Linked DNA regions of Oryctolagus cuniculus. The protein of the gene in region 1 purifies or fractionates together with the protein of each later gene. This does not show direct contact. Links are inferred from orthologs where the notes say so. Each region holds a gene or a part of one and is shown in the gene's direction. Other genes may lie near its edges.

What was found.
Region 2: the proteins of LRWD1 (region 1) and ORC4 purify together in Homo sapiens (affinity purification with mass spectrometry; 3 studies listed by BioGRID and IntAct, with this or other methods). This does not show direct contact. The link is inferred for Oryctolagus cuniculus from reciprocal best matches to the Homo sapiens genes LRWD1 and ORC4.
Region 3: the proteins of LRWD1 (region 1) and ORC3 purify together in Homo sapiens (affinity purification with mass spectrometry; 4 studies listed by BioGRID and IntAct, with this or other methods). This does not show direct contact. The link is inferred for Oryctolagus cuniculus from reciprocal best matches to the Homo sapiens genes LRWD1 and ORC3.
Region 4: the proteins of LRWD1 (region 1) and ORC5 purify together in Homo sapiens (affinity purification with mass spectrometry; 4 studies listed by BioGRID and IntAct, with this or other methods). This does not show direct contact. The link is inferred for Oryctolagus cuniculus from reciprocal best matches to the Homo sapiens genes LRWD1 and ORC5.

Annotation. Positions count from the first base shown.
Region 1 is NC_091450.1:44,073,548-44,081,611, forward strand, and holds the start of LRWD1 (leucine-rich repeat and WD repeat-containing protein 1), read left to right. Parts: upstream 1-3,400; 5' UTR 3,401-3,536; coding exon 3,537-3,616; intron 3,617-3,927; coding exon 3,928-4,162; intron 4,163-4,256; coding exon 4,257-4,373; intron 4,374-4,665; coding exon 4,666-4,806; intron 4,807-5,001; coding exon 5,002-5,106; intron 5,107-5,283; coding exon 5,284-5,400; intron 5,401-5,471; coding exon 5,472-5,586; intron 5,587-6,225; coding exon 6,226-6,335; intron 6,336-6,429; coding exon 6,430-6,637; intron 6,638-6,969; coding exon 6,970-7,042; intron 7,043-7,133; coding exon 7,134-7,274; intron 7,275-7,690; coding exon 7,691-7,773; intron 7,774-7,856; coding exon 7,857-8,012; intron 8,013-8,064. Other genes in the region: ALKBH4 (alpha-ketoglutarate-dependent dioxygenase alkB homolog 4), read right to left, coding at 1-437, 1,165-1,362, 3,194-3,316. UniProt on the Homo sapiens protein: Required for G1/S transition. Recruits and stabilizes the origin recognition complex (ORC) onto chromatin during G1 to establish pre-replication complex (preRC) and to heterochromatic sites in post-replicated cells.
Region 2 is NC_091434.1:94,275,875-94,283,368, forward strand, and holds part of ORC4 (origin recognition complex subunit 4), read left to right. Parts: intron 1-4,694; coding exon 4,695-4,803; intron 4,804-5,866; coding exon 5,867-5,962; intron 5,963-6,039; coding exon 6,040-6,107; intron 6,108-7,494. UniProt on the Homo sapiens protein: Component of the origin recognition complex (ORC) that binds origins of replication. DNA-binding is ATP-dependent. The specific DNA sequences that define origins of replication have not been identified yet.
Region 3 is NC_091436.1:84,932,522-84,940,015, reverse strand, and holds part of ORC3 (origin recognition complex subunit 3), read left to right. Parts: intron 1-2,705; coding exon 2,706-2,810; intron 2,811-4,091; coding exon 4,092-4,243; intron 4,244-6,198; coding exon 6,199-6,332; intron 6,333-7,494. UniProt on the Homo sapiens protein: Component of the origin recognition complex (ORC) that binds origins of replication. DNA-binding is ATP-dependent. The specific DNA sequences that define origins of replication have not been identified yet.
Region 4 is NC_091434.1:140,253,600-140,261,093, forward strand, and holds part of ORC5 (origin recognition complex subunit 5), read left to right. Parts: intron 1-3,283; coding exon 3,284-3,395; intron 3,396-7,494. UniProt on the Homo sapiens protein: Component of the origin recognition complex (ORC) that binds origins of replication. DNA-binding is ATP-dependent. The specific DNA sequences that define origins of replication have not been identified yet.

The DNA of each region.
Region 1 (8,064 bases):
TGCCACAGGTGCCGCGCGGCCCCGGTGAGCACCAGCAGGGAGCGGCGGGGTAAGGGCACGGCCACCTCCACCTCCTGGCACGGCACGGACCTGCTGGGGGCGATCAGGTTGTCCACCAGGGCCTCGGGGCCGGCGGCCGGCGCCGAGCAGAGCAGCAGGCTGCCGGGCGCCTCCCGGCTCATGGACAGCACGGTGGGGGACAGCAGGTTGAGGCTCACCAGCCGCTCGCCCCACAGCCAGGCGTCGTCCAGGTGGGGGTCGATGGCGGAGCCCCGCTCGGGGCAGTAGTCCAGGTTGCACTGCTCCACGGGCCGGAAGTCCTCCAGGCCGGGGTAGAGGCCCATTCTCCGCACCACCTCGCGGCTGAAGCTGGGGAGGCCTCGGAAGCCCGCAGTCTTCAGCTTCTGCTTCCGGAAGTTGACCTTGGGGCCGTAGTCCTGCGGGGGGAGGGCAGGGGGGAGGGGCAGGTGGCTGAGCCGGCAGAGGCGGCCGTCGAGGACCGAGTCCTGGGCATTCGGGCACGGGGACGCGGTGCAGAGCGCCTGGCCCCGGGAATGGGGCGTTCCCAGCGGGGGGAGGAGGCAGGCACAGGGCGAGCAGCCTGCGACCCCGGGCCATGGCGGAGCCCGGTGACCTCTGTGGGGCATAGCCCAGGGTGCTGGGGGCGGGCAGGACCCTGTGTTGCAGTGGGAGGGCCCTACCTCTGCCTCTAACTCTGCCTTTAAAATAAATGAATACATCTTTAAAAAAAAAAAAAAAAAAAAAAGATGACCAGAGCTGCCCGTGGCCCATTCCCAGCCACGGCACGGCCCGGTTCCCGAGGGCTGTGGCTTAGACAGCAGAGTGTGCGGGAGGGGTGACTGTCAGTACTGGCCCTGGAGGGCAGCCGAGGCAGGGTGGGGAGAAGGCGGGTAGGCGGGGCCTGAGCAGGGATGCTGTGGTCCCCGGCCAGGGAGTCACAGGAGAACAGGCAGGCACGTGTGCCGGGACGTGGGACGTGATGGGGGGAGGGGGCAGGCAGCCCACGGCAGCCACAGAAGTCTGAATGCCCGTCAGGAACCTGCCTCTCAGGAGTAGACCCAGCCCCCACCCAGCGACCCTGGCCGCCCACTCCCACAGCCCAGGGCTCGTGGTGCGAGACCTCCCCCGAGCAGCCCGGCGCACCTGCTTCCGGCGTCCGGACTGCGAGAGCTTCCAGGGGTCGCGGTCCATCAGCCGCACCATCTCGGCCTCTTCGTCCCGGGTCACGAAGTCCTCGATGAGCATCACCCCCGGGAAGGGGAAGGCCCAGCCCTCAAAGTCGGAGTCGGCGGCACCCACGGCCCAGCCCGTGTCCGAGCAGTAAAGGAACTCGTGTGTTCTCTGCAGGAGAGGGGGTGGGCGTCACAGGACCGCCACACGCTGAGGGAGTCCCCCTCCCCGGGGCGAGGTGCCCTGGGGTGGCTCCTTGCTCTTCCCCTGTCCGGAGCGGCCCTCCTTTTGACATCCATCTCCCAGAGGGGGCGCAGCAAGGTCAAGGAGCCAGCTCAGGGCCGCACACCCGGGAGCAGTCTGCAAACGCGCCGTTGCCTCGGGTGCGTGGACGGAAAAGGCCTGGGTGGGAGCCCCCGGCCCAGCCAGGTGACCCTGGGAGAGCAGCACAGGGCCGGAGGCCGGAGGGGAGGTGTCCCCCTCTGTGGTGGCCCAAGAGGCACCCAGCTGAGCTGTCACCGTCATCAGCCATCCGCGAGGGCCGTGACTGGCTGACCCCTCGTGCTGCGGTGCCCAGCCTCTCTGCCCATTGCGGTTGGGGGCTTGTCTCTGCCATCCTAATTGGGTCACCACCCCCTTCAGGTGTCCCGGATCTCGTGCACTGACGGCCCGCCCTCCCCGGCCCTGCATCTCATACTGCAGGCTCTCGGGGTCCTTGCTGACCCTGCCGCGGTCCCCCAGGGAGGGCTGGGCGACAGCAGTGCAGCGTTCCTGGGACACCCCCCCGCACCGGGGGTGCAGGGATCAGGATCCTGCCCCACCCCTTCATCTCCCCCCATCAGCTGGGCGTTCACTTGAGCCCAGCCTCTCCTCCCACACACCTCTCACCCCTGAGCTGTCGCTGGCTCCTCCTCTCCCACGATGCCCCCGCTCTGCCACCATCCCGGGGCCGCACCTGGCCCTGTCCCCTTCCAGGCCTCAGCGCCGCACCTCCCTTCCTGTCCTTGCCCTCTAGTCACTCTCCCAGGGCCCCCAGCCCCTCGCCACTGCCTCTTTTCTACCCTCGGCTTCACCCCGGCACAGCCGTCCTGCAGGTGAGAGCAGGGACACGGACCTGCGGGGGTCCCGGCCAGAGCCACCACCCAGGCTAGGACCCCATGGGCACCAGAAAGCGGGCTGGCCTCTGCGGCCCCTCCTCCTGCACTCCCGTCCCTGGGCTCCCACTAGAGTCCCTCGGACAGAACGCGCTACACCCGGGGTGGGGGTGGGTGCCCCGGACATCTCGCTCTCCTTGTCCCACAGCCCGAGTTGTAGCGGTGCCGCCTGCGTGGCCCCTAGCCCGGTACCGCAAACGCTCGCACCGTGGTGAGAGGCGTGGAACACGACGTGCGCCCTTGCAACACCTGTAACGCGGCTCCGTGGCCGCCTCTATCATCCTCCCAGACCCACTGCCTCCCCGCCTCCCCTCCCCTCCCCAGCCCCTGGAGACGCGTTTCTCCTCCGTCCCTGCGCAAGTGACTCCTCCCGAGTCGTCCCAAGGGACCGGCTCACTCCGCTCGGGGCGGGCGCTCAAGGCTCCCCACCCTGCAGCGCGGGTCAGCGGGTCTCCTCCGCGCAGGGCTCACGGACAACGCCGCGCCACTCACGTCTCTGCCGATGGATACCTAGGTCGCGTCTGCCCAGGTGTCCCCTCCACACCCTCCTTTCCCTTCTCCTGGGCGCGCGGAGCCAGAGCGGGGCAGCGGGCTCCGGCGATGGCCGTGGTCACTGCGCCGGCCTCGCAGCCTCCGCACCTCCTTCCCTGCCTGCCCGGGTGCGAGCTCACGTGACCCCTTCTCCCCTCCAAACCCCCGCAGTCCCTCTCCTGGGGCATCACCCCGCCGCCGCGCGCGCGCCCACCGCGGCCTCGCCCCCTGACGGACTGTCACCCCGGCCGCGGCGGGCCTCCCTTTCCCCTACGCAGAGCGGGTTTTGTGGGCGCGGTCCCTCGCTCAGCCCCTACCTGCGGGGAGAGCTGCCAGGGCGGGAACCCACCGCGCTGCCGCTCGCAGATCAGGCAGGTCCGGATGCCCTTGCAGCCACATTCCTTGAGCACCTCCGGGGCCTCGGCCGCCGCCGCCGCCATCGCGCCGTCCGGGCGGCCAGTGCGCAGGCGCCGGGCCGCGGGGGCCGCCGGGAGTCGTAGTCCGCGCGCGGGGCACGTGGTCCTGGCTTCCTTCCGTTCGCGGCCGCCTGCACCCGCGGGGCTCATTCGGCACCGCCTCCTGGGCTGCGCTGACCTCAGGCGTGGGCTTCGGACTGGGGAGCGCGGGTTCCGCGGGCTGCCGGGGCGGCGCGTCGGCGCCATGGGCCCCCTCACTGCGCGGCTGCTGCTGCAGCGCGGGCGACCCAAGAGTGACCGGCTGGGACGGATCCGGAGCCTGGAGTAAGAAGGGGGCCGGGGGCGAGGTCCCACGGGGTCGGTGGGCCGTTGGGAAGAGAGGCCGGCGGCCGTTAAGTCGCTCGCGCTCGGGAGGGGGCTCCGCGGCCGTTCCCGCCAAACGTCTCCTGCGGAGGAGATGCGCGCTGTCGCAGCCCCGAAGAGGGCGGGTTGCGGGTTGAGCCACCTGTTGAGCTCAAAGGGGCGCGGGGAAAGGCGTCCTGGGGGCGCCATGCAGGCCCGGGGGGCAGCTTCGCAGGCGGAAGGGCTCTCCCGGCACCCTGGCCCTGAGCCTCCCCGCCCTGCCCCCGCCGCAGCCTGTCCGGGCTGAAGCTGCACTCGGAGCACCTGGACCCCAAGCTGCTGGGCCGCCTGAAGCAGCTGCAGGAGCTGGACCTGTCCAACAACCAGCTGGACACGCTGCCGGCCAACCTGGGGCTGGCGCACCTGCGCGTCCTGCGCTGCGCCAACAACCAGCTGGCCGACGTCTCGGCCCTGTGCCAGTTCCCGCAGCTGGAGGAGCTCAGCCTGGAGGGCAACCCTTTCCTGACGGTCGGTGGACAGCCCCGCGGGGGAGGGCTCCGGGCCACGGGCCCCGGGCTTGGGCCGGCCGCCGCCTGAGCTGCGCTCGCCCTGCACCCCGCAGGTCAGCGACAACCTGAAAGTCTCCTTTCTCCTGCCCAACCTCCGGAAGGTGAACGGCAAGGATGCCTCCGCCAACTGCACGCAGGTGGAGAGCCTGAACCGCGAGCTGACCAGCAGGGTACGGGCCGGCAGCCACTGAGCAGCACCTGGGCGCGGCGGGAGGGGCCGGTGGCGGGCTCCGCCCTGAGCGCTCCTGCCCGCTGTGCCTGAGCCCCGCTGTGGTGGGGCCCCCTTTGTCCATGGAGGGGGGCCGTTCCTGGGGTCTGTGTTGACCAGGTTCCTGCACTCTGTAGATAAGAGGGGGCGGGGCAGGGGGTGGGGCTAGCCACCGGTGGTGCAGGGTTGACACCTGCGGGGTGTGAGGTCAGATAGGGGCTGGCCAGGGCTGGATCCCGTCCCTCCTCCCCCAGGTCACAGCTCACTGGGAGAAGTTCATGGAGGCGCTGGGCCCAGAAAAGGAGACCCAGAAGGCGCAGGCCGACTTTGTGAAGTCCGCGGTCAGAGACGTCCGCTACGGGCCCGAGTCCCTCAGCGAGTTCACCCAGTGGCGTGTAGGTGCTCACCCTGCCGCGCCGGGGCGCTGGCCTGCCCCGAGGGGCTGTGGGGGGGGGGGCGGCTGGACAGAGGAGCCGGCCCTATTGGCTGAATCCCTTTCCAAGTAGGAAGCATACGCCCCCTTGGAGCACGAGTCTGGGGGATGCTGGGGGACCCAGGACTGTGCCCAGCTTCCTGATGCCCCCCCCCAGGTGCGGATGATCTCCGAGGAGTTGGTGGCCTCTGGTGGGACACAGGTCCATGTGGCCAGTGTCCCCGATAAGCCCCCAGAAGCTGCAGCTGCCCACAAGCCCAAGGTGAGCGTGGCTGCGTGTGGCCCCCGGGGCTCCCAGGGCCTGCCGTGCCCCTTCTGCCTGAGTTGGCTCCCCCCGGGACCCTGGGCCATCCGCGGCTCCCACCCCATGGCGGGGCCGTGGTTCGGGCAGGAAGTCCCGGGGACTTCGGGCCCGTGGTCACCCAGGTCCTCTCCGCAGGCCAGGCTGGTGAAGCGGCCCGATGACACCCCACTCGGCCTCTCTGCCCCCAAGCGGGTGCGCGCCTCCCCGGCCGCCCGGAGGGAGGGCAGCCCTGGGGGCTCGGACAGCAGCCAGGTGAGCTGGGCGGTGGGCAGGGGTGGGGAGGTCAAGGGCTCGCACAGCCCCTGACGCGCTCTGCCCCCCAGGCTGCCCTGAAGCTGGAGCCGCTGCACTTCCTGCAGTGCCACAGCAAGAACAACAGCCCCAAGGACCTGGAGACCCAGCTGTGGGCCTGCGCCTTCGAGCCGGCCCCGGAGGAGGGTACGGCCGCCCGCGGGGGCGTGGCGGGGGCGGGGCCAAGACCTGGAGACCCAGCTGTGGGCCTGCGCCTTCGAGCCGGCCTCGGAGGAGGGTATGGCTGCCCGTGGGGGCGTGGCGGGGCCGGGGCCGGGGCCAGGGCCTGGAGACCCAGCTGTGGGCCTGCGCCTTCGAGCCGGCCCCGGAGGAGGGTACAGCTGCCCGCGGGGGCGGGGCCGGGGCCAGGGCCTGGAGACCTAGCGGTGGGCCTGCGCCTTCGAGCCGGCCCCGGAGGAGGGTACAGCCACAGGGCCCACGACATGAAGCTGCGGGTCCCACGGGAGCTGTTTTTATAAAAAGTCTTCATTATTTGAGGAAGGGGCCCCATCCACTGGTCCACTCCCTGCATGCCTACAACAGCCCCCGGCTGAGGCCAGAACCGGAGTGGGAGAAAGAGTGGCCCGGATACAGCCTGGCGCCCACATGGGAGGCCGGCGCCGCGGGTGGGGGCTCAGCCCTCTGCAGCACAGCACCTGCCCCAGGGGCCAGGGTGTACCACCAAGGGGGCCGCCTTGGATGGGAGGGGACAGTTTAGAAGGTGTCCTCCAGCCAGGCGGGAGCTCTCCAGTCCAGGTTTCCGCTCAGCTGAGCCCCTCAAAACAGGGGGCTCGGGGGCCACGTCGCAGACCGTGGCCACCTGCGGCGGGGAGGCTGTGTGCGTGATCGACTGCCAGACGGGCATCGTGCTCCACAAGTACAAGGCGCCTGGCGAGGTGGGTGCGGGCCCCTGCCTCCCTGCTCCCACACCGGGGAAGCAGACGCCGGTGTGCGGGGCGGTGCCCACAGCTGCTTCCTCCCCCCCGCCAGGAGTTCTTCTCGGTGGCCTGGACGACCCTGACGGTGGTCACACAAGCCGGCCACAAGAAGCGCTGGAACGTGCTGGCGGCTGCGGGCCTGCGGGGCCTGGTCCGGCTGCTGCACGTGCGCGCCGGCTTCTGCTGCGGAGCCATCCGGGCCCACAAGAAGGCCATCGCCACCCTCTGCTTCAGCCCGACTCGGGAGACCCACCTCTTCAGTAAGACCCGCCCTCTGCCGGGGCCCCCGCACCCCTCTCCTGCTGCCCTGGCGGGAAGACAGAACCTCAGGCCCCCCTCTGGGCTTCACGCCCACCTTTGCTGCTGCTCTGTGGCCTTGGATTTCCCAGCACCCGGGCCGCCCTGCTCCCCCGTCAGGGACCTGGGTGGTGACCCCCCAATGGGCGGGGCCCGAGCTGCCCTGGCGGCTGCGGTGTGGGCCCTGGGCTAGAGCAAGGAGGGACAGGGCTGGCCTCGGGCGCCCGGCCTCAGCCTGGGACGTGGCCAGCCAACGGGAGCAGGGCCACCTGTCCCTTTGCCCACCCCTCCTCAGCGGCCTCCTATGACAAGCGGATCATCCTCTGGGACATCGGGGTGCCCAACCACGACTACGAATTCCAGGCGAGGTGACGGCAGGGCAGGGCTGGGGCGGGGCAAGCTGGGCAGCAGGGCGGGGGCTAGCTGGGGCCAGCAGCTCCCATCTCCCCCCCCCCACAGCCAGCTGCTCACACTGGACGCCGCCTCCATCCCCCTGCGCCTCTGCCCCGTCCCCTCCTGCCCGGATGCCTATCTGCTGGCCGGCTGTGAGGGCGGCTGCTGCTGCTGGGACGTGCGGCTGGACCAGCCCCAGAAGAGGAGGTGAGGTGGGGCGGGCTCCCCGCGCCCCTGCCGCCTTCCCCTCGCCTGTGGCTGAGTGATGGAGCCCAGCCCGCTGCGCACCAGCTTGAGGCCCCTGGTGGTGGTGAGCAGGAGAGGCCCTGGGGCACATCTGCCCCTGCCGGGCACAGGCACTCGGGACAGGTGTGCCCCCCCCCATCAGCTACAGGGGACCCGCCCCAGGCCCCTTCAGAAGGGTGCTGGGTGGCATGTGGGGCAGGGAGGGGGAACAGCCTGTGGTGGGGACAGCTGGCAGCAGTGAGGCGGCATGGTGGCCTGGGCCACTGGGAGGACAGGGCAGGTGAGGGCTGGGGCGTGCAGCCCTGGGCCCAGGTCTGGGGGCGTCCGGCCCCTGGCTCTGGTGCACAGCCCTGCCTCCCCACCCCCAACACACACAGGGCGTGTGAGGTGGAGTTCGTGTTCTCTGAGGCGCCCGGGCGCAGAGTGGACGGGCTGGCCTTTGTGAACGAGGACGTCGTGGGTGAGTGCGGCCAGCCTGGGCCGATGGCTTCCCTCGGGGGCTAGGGTCTCGGGCTCAGCCTGGCACCCCCTGTTCTCCCGCAGCCTCCAAGGGGAACAGCCCAGGCACCATCTGCTTGTGGAGCTGGAGCCAGACGTGGGGCGGCAGGGGCAGCCGGTCCTCGGTGGCCGTGGTCGTCCTGGCCTGGCTGCAGTGGTCGTCCACCAACCTGGCCTACTTCTCCCTCAGCACCTGCCCAGGTGAGCACTTGCCCCCGGGAGCACCCCCCACCCCCGCTGCCCCACCTGAGCC
Region 2 (7,494 bases), on another chromosome or scaffold:
ACTGCACTCCCTGGCCACAGCAGAGGGCTGGCCTGGAAGAGGGGCAACCGGGACAGAATCCGGTGCCCCGACCGGGACTAGAACCCGGTGTGCCGGCGCCGCTAGGCGGAGGATTAGCCTAGTGAGCCGCGGCGCCGGCCTGGACTGGTCTTTTCTAAAGCCAGGAGCCCAGAGCTCCATCCTGGTTTCCCACATGGATTGTAGGTGTTCAAGCACTCAGGCAAATCTGCTGCTTCCCCAGGAGCATTAGCAAGGAATTAGATCGGAAGCAGAGCACCCAGGTCTCTAGCCAGCACGTCAGTATAGGATGCTTGGCTTAAACTACTGCACCACAGTGCTGGCTCCTGTAGACAGCATTTTTAAATTTTGGTTTTAGTATTCTCATTGTTACTATACAGGAATGTGATTGTTTTGATCTGCTATGATTTCGCTAAATTTAGTAATTCTATGAATTTGTTTTAAGATTCTTTGGGATTTTCCATGTTAACAATCACAATGAATAGAGATGGTGTTACTTGCTTTTTTAGACTGTATGCATTTTATTTTTTTCTTTTTAACAAAATTTTATTTGGAGCCAGAGCAGGAGATTGGAGCAAGATCTTCCATCTGCTGGTTTACTCCCCAAACACCAAATATCCTCAGCAGCTAAGGGCAAGCCCAGAACTCATACCAGCTCTCCCCTGTGGGTGACAAGGATGCAAGTACTTACGCTATCTAAAATCTGCTGCCTCACAGAGCATGCAATAGCAGAAAGCTAGGTTGGAAGCGAAGGAACTTGCATTTGAAGCAGGCACTCTGATACGTAATGTGCATTCCCAAGAGGCATTTTAATAACAGTACCAAATGTGTATCCTGATTTTCTTATGTTTTATTGCAGTGCCTAGAAATAACTCTACAATTAAAGTAAATATCCTTCTTCATTCTCAATCCTATAAGGAAAGCATTCAGTCTTTTACTATGAAATATAATGATGTTAGTTATGCATTTTTTATACACGCTCTTTAAACATTTGAGGTAATTCCTCCTCATTTCTAACTTGCTGAGAGTTTATGAGTAGATGTTGGATTTTGTCAGATGCTTACTCTTAATCAGTATAATATGATTATATAATTTCTCTCTAACCTGTTGATTTGCTTGGGTAACAGTGATAGATTTTTGAAAAATCAACCAGTATCTTATACCTGGAATACATTCTAGTTAATCATAGTCTTTCACCAAGTAATTGCATCTAACTTTAAACAATATCAATTAAAATTACTTTATTCTGAAAATTAAAGAACTTCTTCCTAACAGTTTGAAATTAGTGTAGTATTTCTAGAAAATTGTCTTGGGCAAATACCTTTCAAAGAAAATAGCTTTGGTTTTAGGAGTCTCTTGGTCAATATTCATTAATAGTAATAGGACAATAGTGATAATTGCTAATATTTCTTGACAAGAAATGTTACTATTATTGTTAATTTACCTACATTACTAACCTCTACAATCTTATTTTTTTTCCTTAGGTACTTTTATCCTTACCCTTGTAGATACTGAGGCACCTTGACACTAAATAACTTGATAAAGATCTGAGAGATATTAGTCAGCAATACTTGCATCCAAGGCTGGCTGACTTCAAGTTTCTTTTCTACTTTATTCTGTGGTTCTGCCATGTTCGTTACAGATTGCCTTCCCTTTTCTTGTTTTGCTAAGGAAATTTAAGTCTTTTTCTTTTTATATGGCTTCCTACTTATTAGTTTATCTCCTGTCCATCAATCAAAAGTACACTGATATTTTCAGCACCAGCTATGTTTTTAAACAAAGATTGATTTATTTATTAGAATTTCAGAGAGAGAGAGACAGAGAGAGATCTTCCACCTGCTGTGGTTCACTCCCCAAATGGCTGCAACAGCCAGGGCTCATCTAGGCTGAAACCAGGAGCCAAGAGCTGCTTTCAGGTCTCTCACATGGCTGGCAGGGGGCCATACACTTGAGCCATGTTCCATTGCTTTCCCCAGGCCATTAGCGGGGAGCTGGATCAGAGAAGAGCAGCCTGGACCCAAACTAGCACCTGTATGAGGTACCATTGTTGCAGGCAACAGCAGCTTTGCCTGTCATGCCACAACACTAGCTCCTCAGCACTAGCACCAGCTGTTTTTATCATGAAGGAATTTGGTTAATAAGAATTTTTAGAGTAAAAAAAATACATACATACACATATACATATATATATATCTCCCATTATTCTGGGAAAGTATCTCTGCCTCAGTATTGTCAACAGGAACAACTATTATTTTGCCAGTTTCCTCTTAAATTTTTAATGCATCATAATGAATTAAATAATAGCTTGCTTAGTAATGTAGACTTCTACTTTGATGGGTTGCTTGCTCATATTCTTATCTCATTCCTTTATTGATTATCTTTTTCTTTGCTGTGGAAGATCTTTACATTTGAGAAGATTACAGACAAATGCTGCAATTAGACTTTTCTACTAGTCTGATGTGTATTAGCGTTTACATGTTATGTTATAGTATGAATATAAAAAGGTTTTTTTTTTTTTTTAATTATCCATTTATTTGAAAGGCAGAGTTAGAGACAGAGTGAGATCTTCCACCCACTTGTTCATTCTCCAGATGGCCACAACCGCCAGAGCTGGGCTGGTCAGAAGCCAGGAGCTTCTTCCAGGTCTCCCATGTGGGTGCAGGAGCCCAAGTACTTGAGCCACCTTCTGCTGCTTTCCCAGGCATACTAACAGGAAGCTAGATCATAGTAGAACATCTAAGACTCAAGCCAGGATCCATATGTGATACTGTCACCATAGGTGGCAGCCTTACCTGCTAGGGCCCCAAAAGTTACTACTTTTAATGTAAATGTGTATAGTCGCTTTGGAGATCCATTTAGCTAAGTAGGTAACTAGAGAAACTCAAAAGCACAAGAAGTCTGATATAGGATTGCTGATTAGAATCATGTTTATAATCAGGAAAAAAATTGAAATGACATGTGCATCAATAGAAAATGAATAATAATGGATATATCCAAAGGAATACAGTATAGCAGCCAAAAATTAATAAAGTAGAATTGATACCTCAACATGGATAATTCTGTTAATAGATGGTAAGTCAAAAGATAGTTGTGAAACTACAATAGTATTTATATGATATTTGAAAATTACTCTGTTTTCTAGGAATACATACTGATTTATTTTGTGTGGAGAAGTCTAGAGAGTCTAGGAGGAGAGGGGCTTCATCTCTGTAAAATTACATTAAACTGGGAAAGGGGCCATAGATAATGCATTGTATTACTCTGTTGTCTTTTTGCGTGTTAAAAAGTATTTCAGAATGAAAAATGAAGGGCATGTGTGGCACTGCAGCTTAAGCTGGTACCTGGGATTGAGTCCTGCTTCAATTTTGATCCAGCTTCCTGATAATGTGCATCCTGGGAGGGAGCAAATGAGGGCTTAAGTACCAGAGCACACCCAAAGGAGACCTTGATAGAGTTCTGGGTCCTGACTGATTCAGGCATTTGAGGAGGTGAACCAGTGGATAGTAGATAGGTATGTATGTGTCCCTGTCACTCTACCTTTCAAAATAAAATAAAAAAGTGAAAGGAAAAAAAGAAACATCAGAGGAAGGGAAACAGCTACTGGTGACCTGGTTTCCAGCCAGGCAGAGGATGAAAGACAAGGATTGCCAAACTCCTCTGCTCAAGTAAGGCACCTGTGCCTGGGTTTTGATGGAAGATAAGTATATCCCAAATATTGCATGGTATATACTTTTACTAAGCAGTTTCTCATTGTTTATCCAAAATTCAATTCTAACCTGATGATATCAGGGATTTTTTTTGTTCTTTTTGAAGATTTTTGATTTATTTATTTGAAAGGCAGAGTTACAAAGAAACAGAGGGGAGCTAAAGAAATCTTCCATCCGCTGGTTCACTCCCCAAATGGCCATAACAGCCAGGGCTGGGTGAGGCCAAAGCCAAGGATCAGGCGCTTCCTCCGGGTCTCCCACATTGGTGCAGGGCCCCCAAGGGCTTGAGCCATCCTCTGCTGCTTTCCCAGGTGCATTAGCAGGGAGCTGAATCAGAAATGGAACAGCTAGGACAAGAACAGGTGCCTATATGGGATGCCGGCATTGCAGGCAGTAGCTTCACCTGCTACACCACAACCCCGGCCCCGATGATACCAGTTTTTATCTGCTAACCTTAAATGAAAAAATTTAACTTTTATGAAAAATTTTATGTATATAAAGAAAGCAAAAAGAAATCTCAAGGTATTTGTGTGACAATGTTAGTTAAATAAGAAGCAGGCTCTGCTTTCAAGGAGAATTATTTCATGGTATAGATATTCTTTGTACAATCAAACAGAAAATAGCTGACTTCTTTCTATCTTACACTAACTTTGGCTGGTTGATTAGCATTTTTACTTTGTTTCTTCTCATCACCTTACGCTTTGAAATGTTCTTTTGAGGGGTAAATTACACATGAGGAAAGGGGTAGGAAGAGTGGCAAGAATTTGTTCATATTGTACATTTGTAGAGTAATATGAAATGAGTTGAAATACTGTGTTTATTAGACCTAAACTGGAGAATACCTTTGCCAAGCATTAATATTTACTTTCTCTTAGGCATAAATTATGCAAATTCAGAAGTTTTGCCCTCTTATATCTCCAAAATCACACAGTAAATACGTAATCCTTTCTCTATTCTACATTTGCCTAGATGCTTGCTTTAAATCGAGTAACAGCATCTCATCCATTTGTGACTCCAGCAGATCTTATGGAGGCTAACCAGCTGTGTAGCATGGATTCTAAAGCCAATATTGTACATGGTGAGAAGCCTAATAATAATTTTTTTAGTTATAAAAAGTTTGAATTTAGATAATATATTTTTTTTTTCGAAATTAACATTGGCATCATTTTATGTTAAGAATACTTTTATATTCATGGAGAACCATTAGCTCAGTTCTTTTTAAAAAAAAAATTTTATTTATTTGAAAGAGTTACACAAAGAGAGAAGGAGAGGCAGAGAGAGAGAGAGAGAGAGAGGTCTTCCCATCCGCTGGTTCACTCCCCAATTGGCCACAATGGCCTGAGTTGAGCTGCGCTGATCCAAAGCCTGGAGCTTCTTCCGGGTCTCCCACGTGGGTGCAGGGGCCCAAGCCATCTTTCACTGCTTTCCTATGCCATAGCAGAGAGCTGGATCAGAAGTGGAGCATTTGGTACTTGAACCGACACCCATATGGCATGCTGGCACTGCAGGTGGCAGTTTTACCCACTATGCCACAGCGCTTGCCCCTAACTCAGTTCTTAAAAAGGCATTACTACTACTATTTAAAGTGATGGAAACTTGACACTTCTCATGCCACTTTGGAAACCCAGGCAAGACTATGTTGCTGACATTCTCATTAAACCAGTGCCACTGAAGAGCATTCACTAATTTTTTTGTCACTTGGGATTCATTATCCCTTTTGAGTCTCTGATGAACATTTTCTTTCCCGGGAAACAGTACAGTTTTGGATATGATTTGAAGAAGTTTAGGGATTCTCTCAATAAATCCCACCCAAGGACCTTTGTGATTTAAAAACAGTAATTGCAGTTCCTATATATTGTTTACTGTGGGCTATATCATGAATGTTTGGTTATCGTGTCTCTAATCCTTGTAATTTTTCTAAGTGTAGAAAGTACCTTATTTTTCAGATTATGAAAAATTAAACCTCACATGGTTAAGTAACTTAAGTTTGTAAAGATAATAGTGATGGAAACCATTTGGGTCTAGGAGAGGCTTGGCCTCCAGCCCACGAAGCTATGATCTTTGACTGTATTATGCCCTTCAGAAGACAGTATAATCTTATGTCTCTTTAACTACAACTCATAGTTTTTATTTTACTGTAGGTCTGTCAGTTTTGGAAATCTGTCTTATTATAGCAATGAAACATTTAAATGACATCTATGAAGAGGAGCCCTTTAATTTTCAAATGGTCTATAATGGTGAGCTAAGACTTTGATTGTTTCTCTCTTCTATTGCTTGTGTGAAGGTTCTGATATTTTCATTTCTTCCTATCCAGAGTTTCAAAAGTTTGTTCAAAGAAAGGCCCATTCTGTTTATAATTTTGAGAAACCTGTTGTCATGAAGGTAAGATTGGTTTGCTGTTTTTTAGACAAGTAGCTTTTACATCCAGTTTGATTATAAATATATATATATCAAAGTTGCACTTTCAGACATTAAGTATTAGGGATTTTTTTTAAACAGACAAAAATTTTAAAATGTTTCAGTATTTTGAAGGCAACTAGTTCTGTTTTAGTTTGTGGTGTTGCACTGCCCTCTGCTGTCAATTCATAGCACTTGCATCCTGAAAAGGAGCTACTCATTACAGTTAAAAAAAAACATTGCTGTAATCGTCTCATTCTAGTCCAAGAACTGCTTGTCATCACACCAGTAAAAGGAGATAAAAATGCAGACAAGAGTCATTTAAAACTTTAAAATTATTTCACATTTAATTTATTTGAAAAAGAAACCTCTACCCACTGCACAAATGCTCATAATAGCCAGGCCAGTGCCAGGTGAAGCCAGGAGTTGGAATCTCCATCCAGGTTCCCCATATGGGTGACAGGGGCCCAGGCACTTGGGTCATCACTAGCTGCTTCTGAGGGTACATATTAACAGGAAGGTGCGTCTGAAGTGGAGATGAAACTGGAATTTCAGCACTCGGATATGGGATGCAGGCATCCCCAATGGCTACTTTACCCACTGCACCACAATGCCCACCCTCTTAAGGTATTATTTAGGGTACTGTTTTTCACAATAAAGATAATGTGAATATATGATACAGTTTTAGATTCCATTCTACCCATAAGACTTAAAAAAGGGGGGGATTAGCTCGAACTCAGTATATAAAAAATATTTAAACACCACAGTCAGTATAAGAAGTTATTAATGAATGTAGCTTTATTTCCTTTTACAGTAAATTTTTGAAATTTTGTGTATGTTTATGTTTATAGCACATTTCAAGCCTCTAAATATTCATTGGAAATACTTGCTCTATAGAATCCTTAAAATAGGGACCGACGCTGTGGTGTAGCGGTTAGTAAAGCTGCCGTCTGCTGTGCCAGCATCCCATATGAGTGCCGGTTCAAATCCCGGCTGTCTACTTCCAATCCAGCTCTCTGCTATGGCCCGGGAAAGCAGTGGAAGAAGGCCCACGTCCTTGGGCTCTGCACCCATGTGGGAGACCCGGAAGAAGCCTCTGGCTCCTGACTCCAGATCAGCACAGCTCTGGCTGTTGCGGTCACATAGGGAGTAAACCAGTGGATAGATGATCTCTCTCTTTGTCTCTGCCTCTCTGTAACTCTGCCTTTCAAATAAATAATCTTTCTGGAAAAAAAAAAAAGAATCCATAAAATAAATGAGAAAGTAATTTATATATTGAGATTATTCCAGACATACAATTTTCTGATTGAGCCAAGTATTAGTTTTTAAATTAAGCGAATAACAGATAAAATTAAAAATGGAGTCCTCTGTT
Region 3 (7,494 bases), on another chromosome or scaffold:
TAAATAAATAAAAATAATATCTCGTGGGTCCAGCTCTGTGGCATAGTGGGTAAAGCCACTGCATGCAGTGCCAGAATCCTATGGGGCATCGGTTCAAGTCCAGGCTGCTCTGCTTCCAATCCATCTCTCTGTTGTGGCCTGGAAAGCAGAAGATGGCCCAAGTCCTTGGGTCCCTGTACCTGTATGGGAGACCCACAGAAGCTCCTGTCTTCTGATCGGCACAGCTATCACCATTGCAGCCATTTGGGAAGTGATCCAGTGGATGCAGGACCTCTCTCTCTCTCTCTCTCTCTGCCTCTGCCTCTCTGTAACTCTCTGCCTTTCTTTTTATTTTTTTAAATCCTTTTTTTTTTTTTTTTTTAATTTTAATTTTTTGACAGGCAGAGTAGACAGTGAGAGAGAGAGAGACAGAGAAAAAAGTCTTCCTTTTGCCGTTGGTTCACCCTCCAATGGCCTCTGCGGCCGGCGCACCGCGCTGATCCAAAGGCAGGAGCCAGGTGCTTCCTCCAGGTCTCCCATGCGGGTGCAGGGCCCAAGCACTTGGGCCATCCTCCACTGCAATCCCGGGCCACAGCAGAGAGCTGGACAGGAAGACAAGCGACCGGGACAGAATCCGGTGCCCCGACTAGGACTAGAACCCGGTGTGCTGGCGCCGCAGGTGGAGGATTAGCCTGTTGAGCCGTGGCGCCAGCAACTCTCTGCCTTTCAATTAAATAAATCAATCTTTAAAAAAAATAATATCTCCAATAGAATTACTCTATAGTATGAATTTTATTTTCCTGTGTTTATAATTACAGATCATTTCATTAATACCAATTGCCTATAAGAGGGATTGGATGAATCGTACGTAAGTTGCTTTTTGATTGCAGGTTATGAATTTCTTGGATACTAATATCCATCATTAATAGTCTATCTTGGCCGGTGCCGCGGCTCACTAGGCTAATCCTCTGCCTAGCGGCGCCGGCACACCGGGTTCTAGTCCTAGTCGGGGCACCGGATTCTGTCCCGGTCGCTTGTCTTCCTGTCCAGCTCTCTGCTGTGGCCCGGGAGTGCAGTGGAGGTTGGCCCAAGTGCTTGGGCCCTGCACCCCATGGGAGACCAGGATAAATACCTGGCTCCTACCTTCGGACCAGCGTGGTGCGCCGGCCGCAGCGCGCCAGCCACGGCGGCCATTGGAGGGTGAACCAATGGCAAAGGAAGACCTTTCTCTCTGTCTCTCTCTCTCACTGTCCACTCTGCCTGTCAAAATAAAAAAGGTCTATCTTTAGCAAACATTTGGATTCTAGTATGATGTAAAAAATTATTGGTAATACTAGGAAAATTCCATGATTGTTGGGAGCACCTCGGACTAGACTAAGTTACTGGAATTAAGACTTATTCTATGCATCTGCTCTCCCACAATATGGCGCTGGGAGAGGAGTAAACAACTTTTACACAGCTGCCTCCAGTTCGACCAATAACCTGCAGGAGCTGATCCTGCTCCTGATTGGAGGAGAGCAGCGTACTCGGCGTGTGGGTAGCAGAGTTGGGATTGGTGGAAGAGGACTATAAAGGAGGAGAGAGACAACATGCACCAGGAACATCTAAGGGGAACATCCGGATAACATCTGAGCAAGCCCCGAGAGAGCCGGCCGGCGGTGTGCCGCTCCCCCCCTGCGGAAGTGGGGAAAGTGGCAGAGGGGCCCGCCCCTCCACGGAGGTGGAGGGATGGCAGCCAACCCGGGAAGGACCAGCAGCAAACCCGGGAAGGGCCGAGCAGACAAAAGAACAGTGCAGGGTCTAGTGTCGTACCTCCACGAAGAGGGGGAGCGACACATGATTGTTTTTTTCTTATGATTTATTTATTTATTTGAAAGTCAGAGTTATACAGAGAGAGAAGGAGAGGCAGAGAAAGAGAGAGAGGCCTTCCATTCTCTGGTTCACTCCCCAATTGGCTGCAATGGCCAGAGCTATGCCCATCTGAAGCCAGGAGCTTCTTCTAGGTCTCCATGTGGGGCCAGAGGCTCAAGAACTTAGGCCATCCTCTTCTGCTTTCCCAGGCCATAGCAGAGAGCTGGATTGGAAGTGGAGCAGCTGGGACTTGAACCAGCACCCATATGGGATGCCAGCACTGCAGGCCTGCAGCAGCTTTACCCACTATGCCACAGCGTTTCCTTTGTCATTAGTTTTTAGAAACAAAGTTTAATTTACTTGAGTTCCAAACATGCTTTTTTTTTTTTTAAGATTTATTTATTTATACGAGAGGTAGAGTTACAGATAGAGAAAGGGAAAGACAGAAAGGTCTTCCATCCTCTGGTTCACTCCCCGAATGGCCTAGTGTCCAGGGTTGGGCCAAGCCAAGGACAGGAGCCAGGAGCTTCATCTGGGTCTCATGTTGGTGCAGGGGCCAAAATACTTGGCCCATTCTCCACTGCTTTCCAAGGCTTGTTAGCAAGGAACTGGATTGGAAATGGAGCAGACGCTACTTGAACCGGTGCCCATATGGGATGCTGGCACTGCAGACAGTGGCTTAACCCACTGTGGCACAGCACCGGCCCCCAATATATATCTCTTTATGCAGTGTTATTTTCTTGATTTCTGTTACTCATCATATTTTCAAGTATTTTTACTTGGTAGTTTTTTTTATTAAGTATCTTTTGTTGTTAAATTATTACTAAAATTATGATGATTAATAAAATGTTGCTAATTAATTTTTTGTCCCATAGGTGTGAATGTCACAGATCATGAATTAATATTCAGAAGTCTAACAGAAGCCCTTCAGAATAATGTCACACCACATGTAGTCTCATTGCAAGCTAAAGATTGTCCAGGTAAAATATGAATGCCACAGTTACCTCAAAGAGAGTTAACAAACTTCCATTTCTTTCTCCCTTCTTTTTTCATCCCTTATGTGGTGGAAGAGCAGCCTACATTTTTGGCAGGGTGAGCTCTACTGGCTCCCAAAGTAATCTCTACTGTAACTGTACTCTACCACCTTTTACATCCTTTTTGTGGCCTTGTTCCTGCCATATCATAGCCATAGTTGTCCAATCATTTTTCAAGATTTTTTCTTAACCCACTGAATAAGTAGAAAGGTTTAGAACAGAAAGCTGAGAATAGGGGAAATTGGAACTCTTTTTTTTTTTTTTTAGCCCAACAGAGAGTAGACTATATAGATTCATATTTATAGTCATAAATCATTATATTGTCTCAGTATGAAAGGCCCCCATGGTAAAAATAATCCAGTGGCAAACTAATCTTGGATATCTGAAACCATCATTTCATAAAGGGTATGTAATACACTAAAATTTATTTGAATTTGCATTGATAAGATGAATTTTATATACTTATATTTCATATTCATACTATTTGTAATTAAGTAAAAGTCCTAAAGACATCTTTAAAAATTACTATAAAGGATGATTTATAAGTAGTAAATTAACTCATGTAAATAGTACTTTTGTTCTTTTAGGGATCTTGAAAACCTTTGTTGTCTAGTGTAATTTGAATACTTACTAGTCCTAATATAATTCATAGTTTTCCTGTTTATACATTTGCTCCACTTTTGTTATAGATATACATGAAAACTTTAGTTTTTGTCTTAATTATGAAATTTAGGATTCTAATGAGCATTAATAGTTAATATATTAAGTATTACATTAGTTACATTGATGGTAAATATAGGAAAACACATTCTACTCAATTAGTTTCATTTGCCAAAGTTTCATGGGCTTCCATTTTTTTGTTTCAAAGATTTTTATTTATTTATTTGAGAGGTAGAGTTACAGGCAGTGAGAGGGAGAGACAAAGAGAAAGGTCTTCCTTCTATTGGTTCACCCCTCAGATGGCCGCAATGGCTCGAGCTGTGCCAGGAACCAGGTGCTTCTTCCCGGTCTCCCATGCTTCTTTCCGTGTCTCCCATGGGCCATCCTCTACTGCTTTCCCAGGCCATAGCAGAGAGCTAGATTGGAAGAGGGGCAGCTGGGACTAGAACAGGCGCCCATATAGGATACTGGTACCGCAGGCGGAGGATTAACCTGTGCCATGACGCCAGCCCCAATGGGCTTCAATTTTAAGAGGAAATAAGCTTTCTTACTTTTTATATTCTGCAGATATAAAACATTTTTTGCAAAAGTTGGTCTCACAACTGATGAATTGCTGTGTGGATGTAAAATCCAAAGAGGAAGAAAGTGTTCAGGTCACCCAGAAAAAGACACATTGTTCAATGGATTTGCTTTCAAACTGGTATAAGACTGTCACACAGGTAAATATAAACTGATGATTTTCTCCGAGATAGATATTGGATGTGACTGGGTTATAGAATTATATTAGATACAGTACTGTATTTTTTTAAAGAATATATTTACATAGCATTAAGTGTTAATTTAATAGTGGCTGTTTTCTTTAAGTGACAAGAATTTCAGATTGTTCTTTTTATTACTGTGTAGCCTAATTTTCAGTAAGTGCTTAGGTTCTTTTTTTTATATATATATATTTTTATTTTTATTTTGGACAGGCAGAATGGACAGTGAGAGAGAGAGAGAGAGAAAGGTCTTCCTTGTCCATTATTTCACCCCTCAATGGCCGCCGCTGCCGGCACACTATGGCCGGCGCACCGCGCTGATCTGAAGGCAGGAGCCAGGTGCTTCTCCTGGTCTCCCATGCGGGTGAAGGGCCCAAGCACTTGGGCCATCCTCCACTGCACTCCCAGGCCACAGCAGAGAGCTGGCCTGGAAGAGGAGCAACCGGGACAGAATCCGGCGCCCCGACCGGGACTAGAACCCGGTGTGCCGGCACCGCAGGCAGAGGATTAGCCTATTGAGCTACAGCGGCGCTGGCAGTGCTTAGGTTTTTACAAGAACATTTTATTTGTGGAAAAATGTCATCCCATGAGAATAACAGAGCATTAGGAATTGGTCTACCACAAATTCTGCCTCTGGGACAATGGCTGTAACTTTAATATATTACCTCTTAGGTTCATTCTATCTCTGTGACAATGGCTATAACTTTAATCTCTTTGGTTCTTCAATATTTGCTTTTGTGTAGTGGAACCATCTTGCTAGTACGTACTGTTAACTTAGTCCTATGAAGAATAATCACGTATTTTTTTAAAGAAAATCTGAGTTGTTCCATGTTTAGAGTTCTTGGGGAATTGGTACTCTGTAAGTATATTTAACAAACAGACAAATAAAAAGAAGTTCCATTCTACATTATGGCCTCTGGAGAAAATGTATAACCTAGGTGATTCAAGATAACTGCAATGTAAAACTTCAGCTTTATTTCATGATGCTGTGTAACCAGACAAGTTAGGGAAAAAATGAGGTGGTGACATTTTTCCAATTAACGTTTTTGCTACAGTCATCATGAGAGAAGTTTCATTTTGCTTCATATAGGAACTAATGCTTATTAATTCAGTCTACAATTTTAAATTTTCTGGGAATCAAACACTACTTACAGTTGATATCAGGAATCTTTAGAAGATTATATTTGGGCCAGGTGATACTTAAGGCTCATTGTTGTTGTTTATTTTGTGGGAGACACAGAGAGAGAAAGACACGAGCAGATAGAGCTTCCAACCACTGATTTACTTCACAAATGCACACAGTGGCTGGGGCCAAACCAAGACGGGGGGAATTCAGTCCAGGTCTCCCAATTACTTGAGCCATCACCATTGCCCCCAGGGTCTGTATTGGCAGAACACTGGAGTCAGGAGCCAGAGCTGTATATTGAACCCAGGTATTCCTCCAATGTGGAATGTGTATGCTAAACCAATGTCTTAACTAGGCCAAATGCCCACCCCTTAAGGTCCTTTTTAAGCCTGAAATTTCATAATAGCAGAGCAGCAAGTAGTGCTATTTTTATGCTTTCTAATTAAGAATACTAGGACTTCTTAAGCAAAACAAAATATAACTTTCTACTGGTAGAAAAATCAATTTTGAAAATTTTCTTCCCATTTTTCTTGTCATTCTTCCCAGCAAAAAATATAAATATTTTATATACACTATAAATTTTACTGCACCTTTTTCTTCTTGTTTATTATTCCCATGTTAGAATGATTCTGCTAGTAACTGTTGAAAGGAGTTTCTATTATATAGAAGAAATAAAAGAAACAATGTTACTGTGAAGTGTGAAGGGAAATATGTCAAATGTGGCACTGTAGCTTTGTTTGGGTGATAAAGCTTACTTTTTAACTCCTTCTTTCCATAATGGCTTAAAAAGAAGACAGAACCAAAAATTCCAAGCAAAAAGAGGACTACTTCTAGCCAATGGCATTCTCCTCCTGTTGTGCTTATCTTAAAAGATATGGAAAGCTTCACTACAAAAGTGCTCCAAGACTTCATACTAATGAGCAGGTATTTGGTTTGTCACCTGGGTTTTGTGCAAAATTCTTTTTTATTAAGAAAAAGTATTCCTTTTACCTTAAAAAGCATAATCTTCATTTTGAGTCCAACTGGACAAAGCTCAAAATGATACCAAATTTTTTCATTAAATGTTCAAATACATTTCAGATTTTTCATTTGCTTCTTAACTCAAGAACAGGAATCACAAACTTAGCCCATTTTTAATGAACGTGGTAAGGCAGTATAAAGTATAGTTTATTTCACCAAAGTCTGTTGTGCCTTAAATGGGATAAACTACTCCAGATGGAGATAATTTATTAGATCATTTTTTTTAAGATTTATTTATTTATTTGAAAGAGTTACACAGAGAGAGTAGGGGAGGCAGAGAGAGAGAGAGAGGTCTTCCGTCCGCTGGTTCACTCCCCAATTGGCTGTAATGGCCAGAGCTGCGCTGATCCGAAGCCAGGAGCCAGGAGCTTCTTCTGGGTCTCCCCTGTGGGTGCAGGGGCCCAAGGACTTGGGCCATCATCCACTGCTTTCCCAGGCCACAGCAGAGAGCTGGATTGCAAGTGAAGCAGCCAGGACGCGAACCCGCCCCGATATGGGATGCCGGTACTGCAGGCAGTGGCTTAACTTGCTGTGCCACAGCGCTGGCCCCAATTTACTACATCTTTATGATAACTAGGCAGTCTTAGAGGCTTTGAGTTGCACATAGCTTTACTAAGCAAGAATATTTTCCAAATAGCACTACCTTAGATTTATGTATTTCTAGTGAAAAACTGTATTTAATATATTTTGACTTTCTCTAAATGTCAACTTGGCTTAATACTTAACTCCATTTGCCTAAAACCATACTGTGTATAATATACTAACACACTTGAAATTTGTATTTTCATAGAATTTTTTTTGTCTTGACTTTAAGAGTTCTAGCTGCCAGGACTTTCCTTCATGCTAACACTGATGTGCCTACCATGCTGAGGAAGTCAACTACAAAAAATTACACTTTTTAGAGCTCAGGCTTCTGACTACTCTATCCATTAAAAGTAAAGACAAACTTAACAGGCAGAGAGTGAGGTACTTTACATCTATGAAGGTAGTACTGTGTATAGCTAAAACACTGAAAAGCAGTGGCTAACAGGAGAGAGTAATCAAAATCATTTAGTCATGATAGAGA
Region 4 (7,494 bases), on another chromosome or scaffold:
CATATTTTTACCCACTGTTTTTCAGTGCTTTGCTTTGGGACTCCCCATCTGGAATCCAGAGTGTGTTCTTGCCCTTCCAGGGTAAATTACCCTGTGTTTTCCTCCTTGTGCCCAGGAATGATGATCATGTACCCATAGTTAGGACTTTCACCATTTTTTAGTTTTAATTATGCAAGCTATTTAAAGAAAATTAATGAGTTCACAGCAGTCTGAAATCTGTCAGAAAAGAAAATTGTTTAGAAATTTCTGAAACATACTTGATTTATGTGTTTTATTCAAGAGAAATTTAGCAAAAACATTTCTCATTTTTATATATTTAGTATCTGAGTAAAAAAAATTTTGTTTGGTAACAACTGTTGTATACTGAAAATACTTTCTCATGAATAGATAAGAATGTTACCAATCTAAAATCCTTTCAGACTGATAAGTATCTTTTTTTAAGCTCTCTATATTTTTAACTGTATAAAATGTTTTTAGCTAATTATAGTGAAGTAAAAATAATGCAGTGCTTTTGTAATCAGGATGGTGTTTAGAGCATACTTTTTTTTTTATACCATACAAGTATATTCATAGATTCTGTAAAAATCAGTGAATTTCTAGCCAGTGTTGTGGCATAGCCAGTTTTAAGCCATCCCTTAAGAATGCCAGCAGAGCATATCAGAGTGTCAGTTCAAGTACCTGCTGTTTTGCTTCCAATCCAGCATCCTGCTACTGTGCCTGGATAAACAGTGAATGATGGCCCAAGTGTTTGGGCCCTTGTATCCACATAGGAGACAGGATCAGGTTTCTGGCTTTGACCTGACCCAGTCCTGGCTGTTGAGGCCATCTGGAGAGTTAATTGGGATAGAAGATGTCTTTCTCTGTCTCCCTTTCTCTGTTGCTTTGTCTTTCAAATAAATAAATTATTTAAATCTTTTTTAAAAGTTAGTGAATTTGGGGCTAGCACTGTGGTGCAGCGGGTTAGGGCCCTGGCCTTCAGTGTTGGCATCCCATGTGGGCGCCGGTTGGAGTCCAGGCTGCTCCACTTCTAATCCAGCTGACTGCTATGGCCTGGGAGAGCAGTTCTTGGGCCCCTGTACCCTCGTGGGAGACCTGGAGAAAGCTCCTGTCTCCTGGCTTCAGATCAGCTCTGCTCTGGTCTTTGCGGTTGTTTGGAGAGTGAACCAGTGAATGGAAGATCTTTCCTTCTGTCTCTCCTTCACTCTGTGGTTCTGTCTTTCAAATAAATAACATAAATCTAAAAAAAAGTGAATTTGTAAGACAAAGCATTTGGAAATAAAAATCCTTTCCTCTCATAGAGATGTTAAATTTTCTGTGGAATTATGTATTCAGATCTTTTTGTTAACTAAATAAGCAATGAAAATCATACAGGTAAGGAATCAGTAAATCACTCAGTGTCAAAATACAGTATAGGGGCCAGCACCATGATGCATTAAGTTAATCCTCCTCCGCCTGTGGTGCCGGCATCCCATATGGGTGCCGGGTTCTAGTCTCAGTTGCTCCTCTTCCAGTCCAGCTCTCTGCTGTGGCCCGGGAGGGCAATGGAGGATGGCCCAAGTGCTTGGGCCACCTGGCTCCTGGCTTCAGATCGGCACAGCTCCGGCCGTTGCGGCCATTTGGGGGGGTGAACCAACGGAAGGAAGACTTTTCTCTCTGTCTCTCTCTCTCACTGTCTATAACTCTACCTGTCAAATACATAAAAAAAAATCTTTAAAAAATATACAGTACAGTTTATGTGGAAGACTGGTTCTAGGGTCATCCACTGCTGACCAAAACAGCTTTCTTTCTGCTTTGTTAGCCTAGGAATGCCAAAATAATATGGAGAAAATTAAAGTTTGTGTAGAGAATGCAGAGATGAATACACAAAATGTCAGCTAGCTTGTTTAGGACAATTATGGCCATGCTATAGTATGATAACAGGCTCTCTTAGTATTTTTTGTTGATATAGTAATTTCTACATATATGAATATTTCAAAAGATAAGTGTTTTGCTTAATGTTGATGTTCTAGATGATAATACTCGTAGTTTGAGCTTTTATTGTTTATTGAACATCAGTTTTACTTAGCGATTGATGTAAACATAACCTTAAGGAAAACCTTTAATGTTCCTAGTATGCGCTGTTATGGGGGATAGATATGGCATATCTATTTTCCTTTAACTGCATATTAACTTTTCTGTGGGTTGCTGAAGCTTTTTTAATGATGAGAAATGATAAGCTTTGCCTTTTTAAATTTACTGATGAAAGCTTATGATTTTTTTGAGAATTTACATAAAAGTTTTGTCTTAATTATTCAAGTAAGTGTTTTTCTTAATTTCTAAAGTAAATCTCATGTGACTATCTTAACATCCTTGAGAACAGATATATTGAATATTTGCAAGTAGATGATTAGGTTTTCTAAAATAACATACAAATGATGTGTTTTATGTTAAAATTGCACTGGAATTTAAAAATTTTTTTAGAAAGCTTGTATTTAATACATACAAATTTCATAGGTACAGCTTTAAGAAAGTAGTGGTTCTTCTCCCATACTCTCCTTCCCACCCCTCTTCCCATCCCATTTCCTACTCCCTCTCCCATCCCATTCTTCATTAAGATTCATTTTTAATTATCTTTATATACAGATGACCAGCTCTATACTAAGTAAAGATTTCAACAGTTTGCACCCACACAGACACAGAATGTATAAAGTACTGTTTGATGACAAGTTTTACTGTTATTCTGATAGTAGAATTCATTGAGAACAGAGGTCCTACATAGGGAATAAGTGCACAGTGACTCCTGTTGTTGATTTAACAATTGACACTCTTATTTATGATGTCAGCAATCACCCGAGACTCTTGTCATGAGCTGCCAAGGCTCTCACTCACAGAGATCTTTGATTTAGGTCATTTTTTTTGCCACAGTGTCTTGGCTTTCCATTCCTGAAATGCTCTCATGGGCTTTTCAGCCAGATCAGAATATCTTAAGGGCTGATTCTGAGGTCAGAGTGCTGTTTAGGGCATTTGTCATTCTAAGTCTGCTGTGTGGCCTGCTTTCCATGTAGAATCGTTCTCTCCTTTTTAATTATATTGTTATTAGCAGATAACTGATCTTATTTATATGATCCCTTTGACACTTATTCCTATCTGTATGATCAGTTACACACTTAAAATGATCACTTTAACATGTAAGATGCCATTAGTACCACCCTTCCTGGAATTTTTAAAGGAAAAATGTAAATGGAATTATTGCTTTGATTAATACTTTTAAATGCAAAGCTTTTTTTTTTTTTTTCTTTTACAGACTGACCGAAATGTGACTGTTATATTTCTCAGTGAAATTGTTTGGGAAAAGTTTCGTCCAAATACTGGATGCTTTGAACCATTTGTCTTGTATTTCCCTGATTATAGCATAGGTAAATTTTTAAAGATTGTTTTGGCAAATGATATTCAGTAGATTTAATGTTGTTTGAAAGATTAAGCTAGCGTGTTTAAAGTGGGATGTGTTCTGAACTGATAAGGTACACTGCCAATTTCAAATACAGTGTCCTTTATATTTCTGTACTATATTTTTGAAGTTATAATTTGAAACTTTGAGGAATTATTCTTGTATAAGTCCTGAAATTTTTTGAATGAGCAACTTTTATATCTTTGTGCTAACAGCATATTTTTATCATTTTTTAGTTGGTACATTAAAATATGCAGCAATTATGATATCCATACGATTAAAGTAGACTATAATGACGAAGCATACTAAAATTATATTGAAACATTTATTTATAATAAAATTGGGTTAAAATACCATGTGTAATATATCTTTTGATTTTGTGAATCTTGTTTTTCATTCTTGTAACTTTTGTAGTACCAGCCACTAACTCTTAAATGTCTTTTTTAGGGGGTTGAATTTAAACTTAGATTTCATAGATCTTGATTAATTCTGTCTTTGTAAGAACACATTAGCTCTTTGTGTTGCTAAATAGCTTTGTAGATTACTACTCTGTTGTCAGTATACAAGTGTAAAACTTCTGATTCAAAGATTATAACTGTGAAGTGTGTATGAAAAAATAACATCCCTTGCCTTGTTGATGAACAGTATTATTCTTGTTTGTTTTTGTGCTTTTTTTTTTCTTCATACTATTCGGTGAACTCTCTACTTAGGGGGTTAACCTTTTTAGTATAAAATTAATTGAAAATTGATCTCAGTAAAAAATAAGAATGGTAAAGGGAGAGGGAGGAGGAAGAAAGGTGGGAGAATAGGTGGGAGGGAAGTGGGGGGGGGGGAGAATCACCATGTTCCCAAATTTGTTTATATTAAATGCATGAAGTTGTATTCCTTAAACAAAATTAAAGAAAAAAATAGCATCAGCCGGCACCGCAACTCAATAGGCTAATCCTCCACCTGCGGCACTGGCACCCCAGGTTCCAGTCCTGGTCGGGGCGCCAGACTCTGTCCCGGTTGTTCCTCTTCCAGTCCAGCTCTTTGCTGTGGCCAGGGAGTGCAGTGGAGGATGGCCCAAGTGCTTGGGCCCTGCACCCCATGGGAGACCAGGAGAAGCACCTGGCTCCTGCCTTCGGATCATTGCGGTGTGCCGGCTGCAGCATGCTGGCCGCAGCGGCCATTGGGGGGTGAACCAATGGCAAAAGGAAGACCTTTTTCTCTGTCTCTCTCACTCTCACTGTCCACTCTGCCTGTCAAAAAGAAAAAAGAAAAAAATAGCATCCCATGACGCTGGCCTCACTACCACTACCCCTCTGGATTTATCTTTTGTAAATATTCATTGTTAAGATCAACACATTTTTGCCTATTTTCACAAGAACAACAGGCAAGTATCACCTCCTGTCCTAGCTAATTAATTGATTTTTTTTAAGTTACCCAAAATAGAAAAGGGGAATCCTTATTTTCAATAACGTCTCATCCATGGGGGGAAAAATCACAGAATCAAAGGATTTAATTTTTTAATTTAATTTTATTTATTTATTTGAGAGGTAGAGTTACAGACAGTGAGAGGGAGAAACAAAGAGAAAGGTCTTCCATCCGCTAGTTCACTCCCCCAATGGCCGCAGCAGCCAGAGTTGTGCAGATCAGGAGTCAGGAGCTTCTTCCAGGTCTCCCATGCAGGTGCGGGGGCCCAAGTGCCTGAGCCATCTTCCACTGCTTTCCCAGGCCATAGCAGAGACCTGGACCAGAGGAAGAGCAACTAGAACCAGCACCCATATGGGATGCCAGCGCCACAGGTGGAAGATTAACATTACTGCGTCACAATGCTGGCCCCAGGATATAATTTTGAAAATCGCTTTGAAGCTCTCATCCCTACTTATGGTTAAACTTTTCATGACCCATTTTAGATTTAAGTATTAAAAAATTACTAGAATTTAAGAAAATTTCAAAATGCTGGTTTTCTGCATCTTAGTAAATATGAACTAAAGAATGATATAAAATTCTGTTGCAGCTTCTAAAAGTAAAGACACAAAGCAGCATGGATGAAAAAAATTTAAATAACAGTGATCTTGCTAGTTTCTGAGCATAGGATAATAGATTTTTGAAAAGTGTTTAGTAGGGGATGGCACTGTGAGGTAGAAGGTTAAGCCTCTGCCTACAGTGCAGGCATCTCATATAGTTGCCGATTCGAGTCCTGGCCATTCTACTTCCGATTCACTGCCTGCTAGCGCTCCTGGGGAAAGCAGAGGAAGATGGCCCAGGTCCGTGGGCCCCTGCACTCACGTGGGAGACCTGGAAGAAGCTCCTGGCTCCTGGCTTCAGCCTGGTGTAGCCCCGACCATTTTGGCCTTTTGGGGAGTGAATTAGCAGATGGAAGGTCTTTTTCTATGTATGTCTGCCTTTCAGATGAATAAATAAATCTTAAAAAAAAAAAAAGAGTATATAGTAATGCAGCCAAGTCAAATCTGACTACTAAATTTTGTGACCTTTTACATATCAAGTCCTTTTGAAGAAAAATCATTATCATCAGAAAAAAGGCAAAAGAAAACACTAATAAGTCAAATTATGGTTAGAGGAAGCAAGCATGGAACCAGAGCAAAGGGATGGATTTAGTGGTCAGTGTCATCAGTCATGATAACTTAGTATGTAAAAAGGACTTCAAAAAGTTCATGGAAAAATGGACATTCATCAAATAAAAACTTTAAAAAATGAAAAATGGAATTAAAAGATAACGCCCATTTTCCATGAACTTTTTGAAGTCCTTCATAAATCATCTTTAGGAACATGGTGTCCAATAAGGACACCTCTTCTCTCACTACTTACAGCTTGGAGGCCAACTTGGAAGTCTCCCATGCATACTACTCATCTTCTGGTCATTTTTTCTTCAGATAGATTATAATATACTTGATCAGGTTTTTGGCTCAAGTATTGTATCAGAAAAAGTTAAGTGATTCTCTGATGGCAATCTGAAATTTTCAGTATCTTAGAATTTTGTACTTTGCCTTTATTGCTATTGTACTATATTTTATTTACATATTTATTATAATACCTTATCGTACTATTTCTTAAAAACCCCATAATGTTGTGTTGTCCTTAAAGAAATAAGGAGGCAAAAAAGAAAATATCTTTTGTTGTTTATCTGCTTCGGATTTTTGAGCTTCTTAGAGCTGTGAGTGTTTAGTTTCATCAACATTGGAAAAATTTCAACTATTATTTATCCAAATATTTTGTCTTCCTTTTTTTCTGGGACAGCATCATTAGTATATTAGACTTCTTGCTACTGTTCTATTGGAAGTCTTCATTTAAATTTTAAATCTTTCTGTGTTTTTTTTTTTTGGATAGTTTTTATTTTTATATCTTTAAAAATCAGGGACTTTTGTTGCCACGGTTGTCTAATCAGCAGTTAATCTCTTCCTGTGGAATTTTTCATTGCACATCTTATGCTCTTCCTTTATATATTTGAGTGAATATAATTATAATAGTTGTGTTAATGCTCTGTCTGCTAATCTCATTATCTACTTTTTTGGATATCCATTGTGCTTTCCTCTGTGTCTAATAATTTTGATTGAATTATAAGCATCATGTTGTGTGTGGGGCTGTTTTCTGATAAGCATTTTTAATTACTTGAAGCTATATTTGACCATTTTGAGGCTATTTTTAAAACTTTTTTAGAGAGGGGATATAGAATAGTCTTTATTCCAAAACTAATTTTAGCTCCTCTTCTAAATTATGGCCTTTCAGAATTCTTTTCTGAATCCTCTGTGTATTAGCATTGTCTCCACATTCTGAGAACAATTCAGAACTCTGAGTTCTAGGATTTGACTTAGAGATCTCCAGTAATTATTTTCTCCTAGAGGTCCTTTAGTTTTAACCTTACAGAGGTTTACGTTGTGCGTAAATTTGGGATTCAGAGAATATGGGAGGGGAACCCTGTACAAATTTCTGGGATACTTTTTCTGCATCATTCACTCCCTTGGTGCTCTGCCCTGCAAATTCTAGCTGCCTTACCTCCCTCTGGCCTCTGTTTCCTCAGCTCAGTGTTACTAACAGACTCCATTTGAAACTCTCCTTGCACC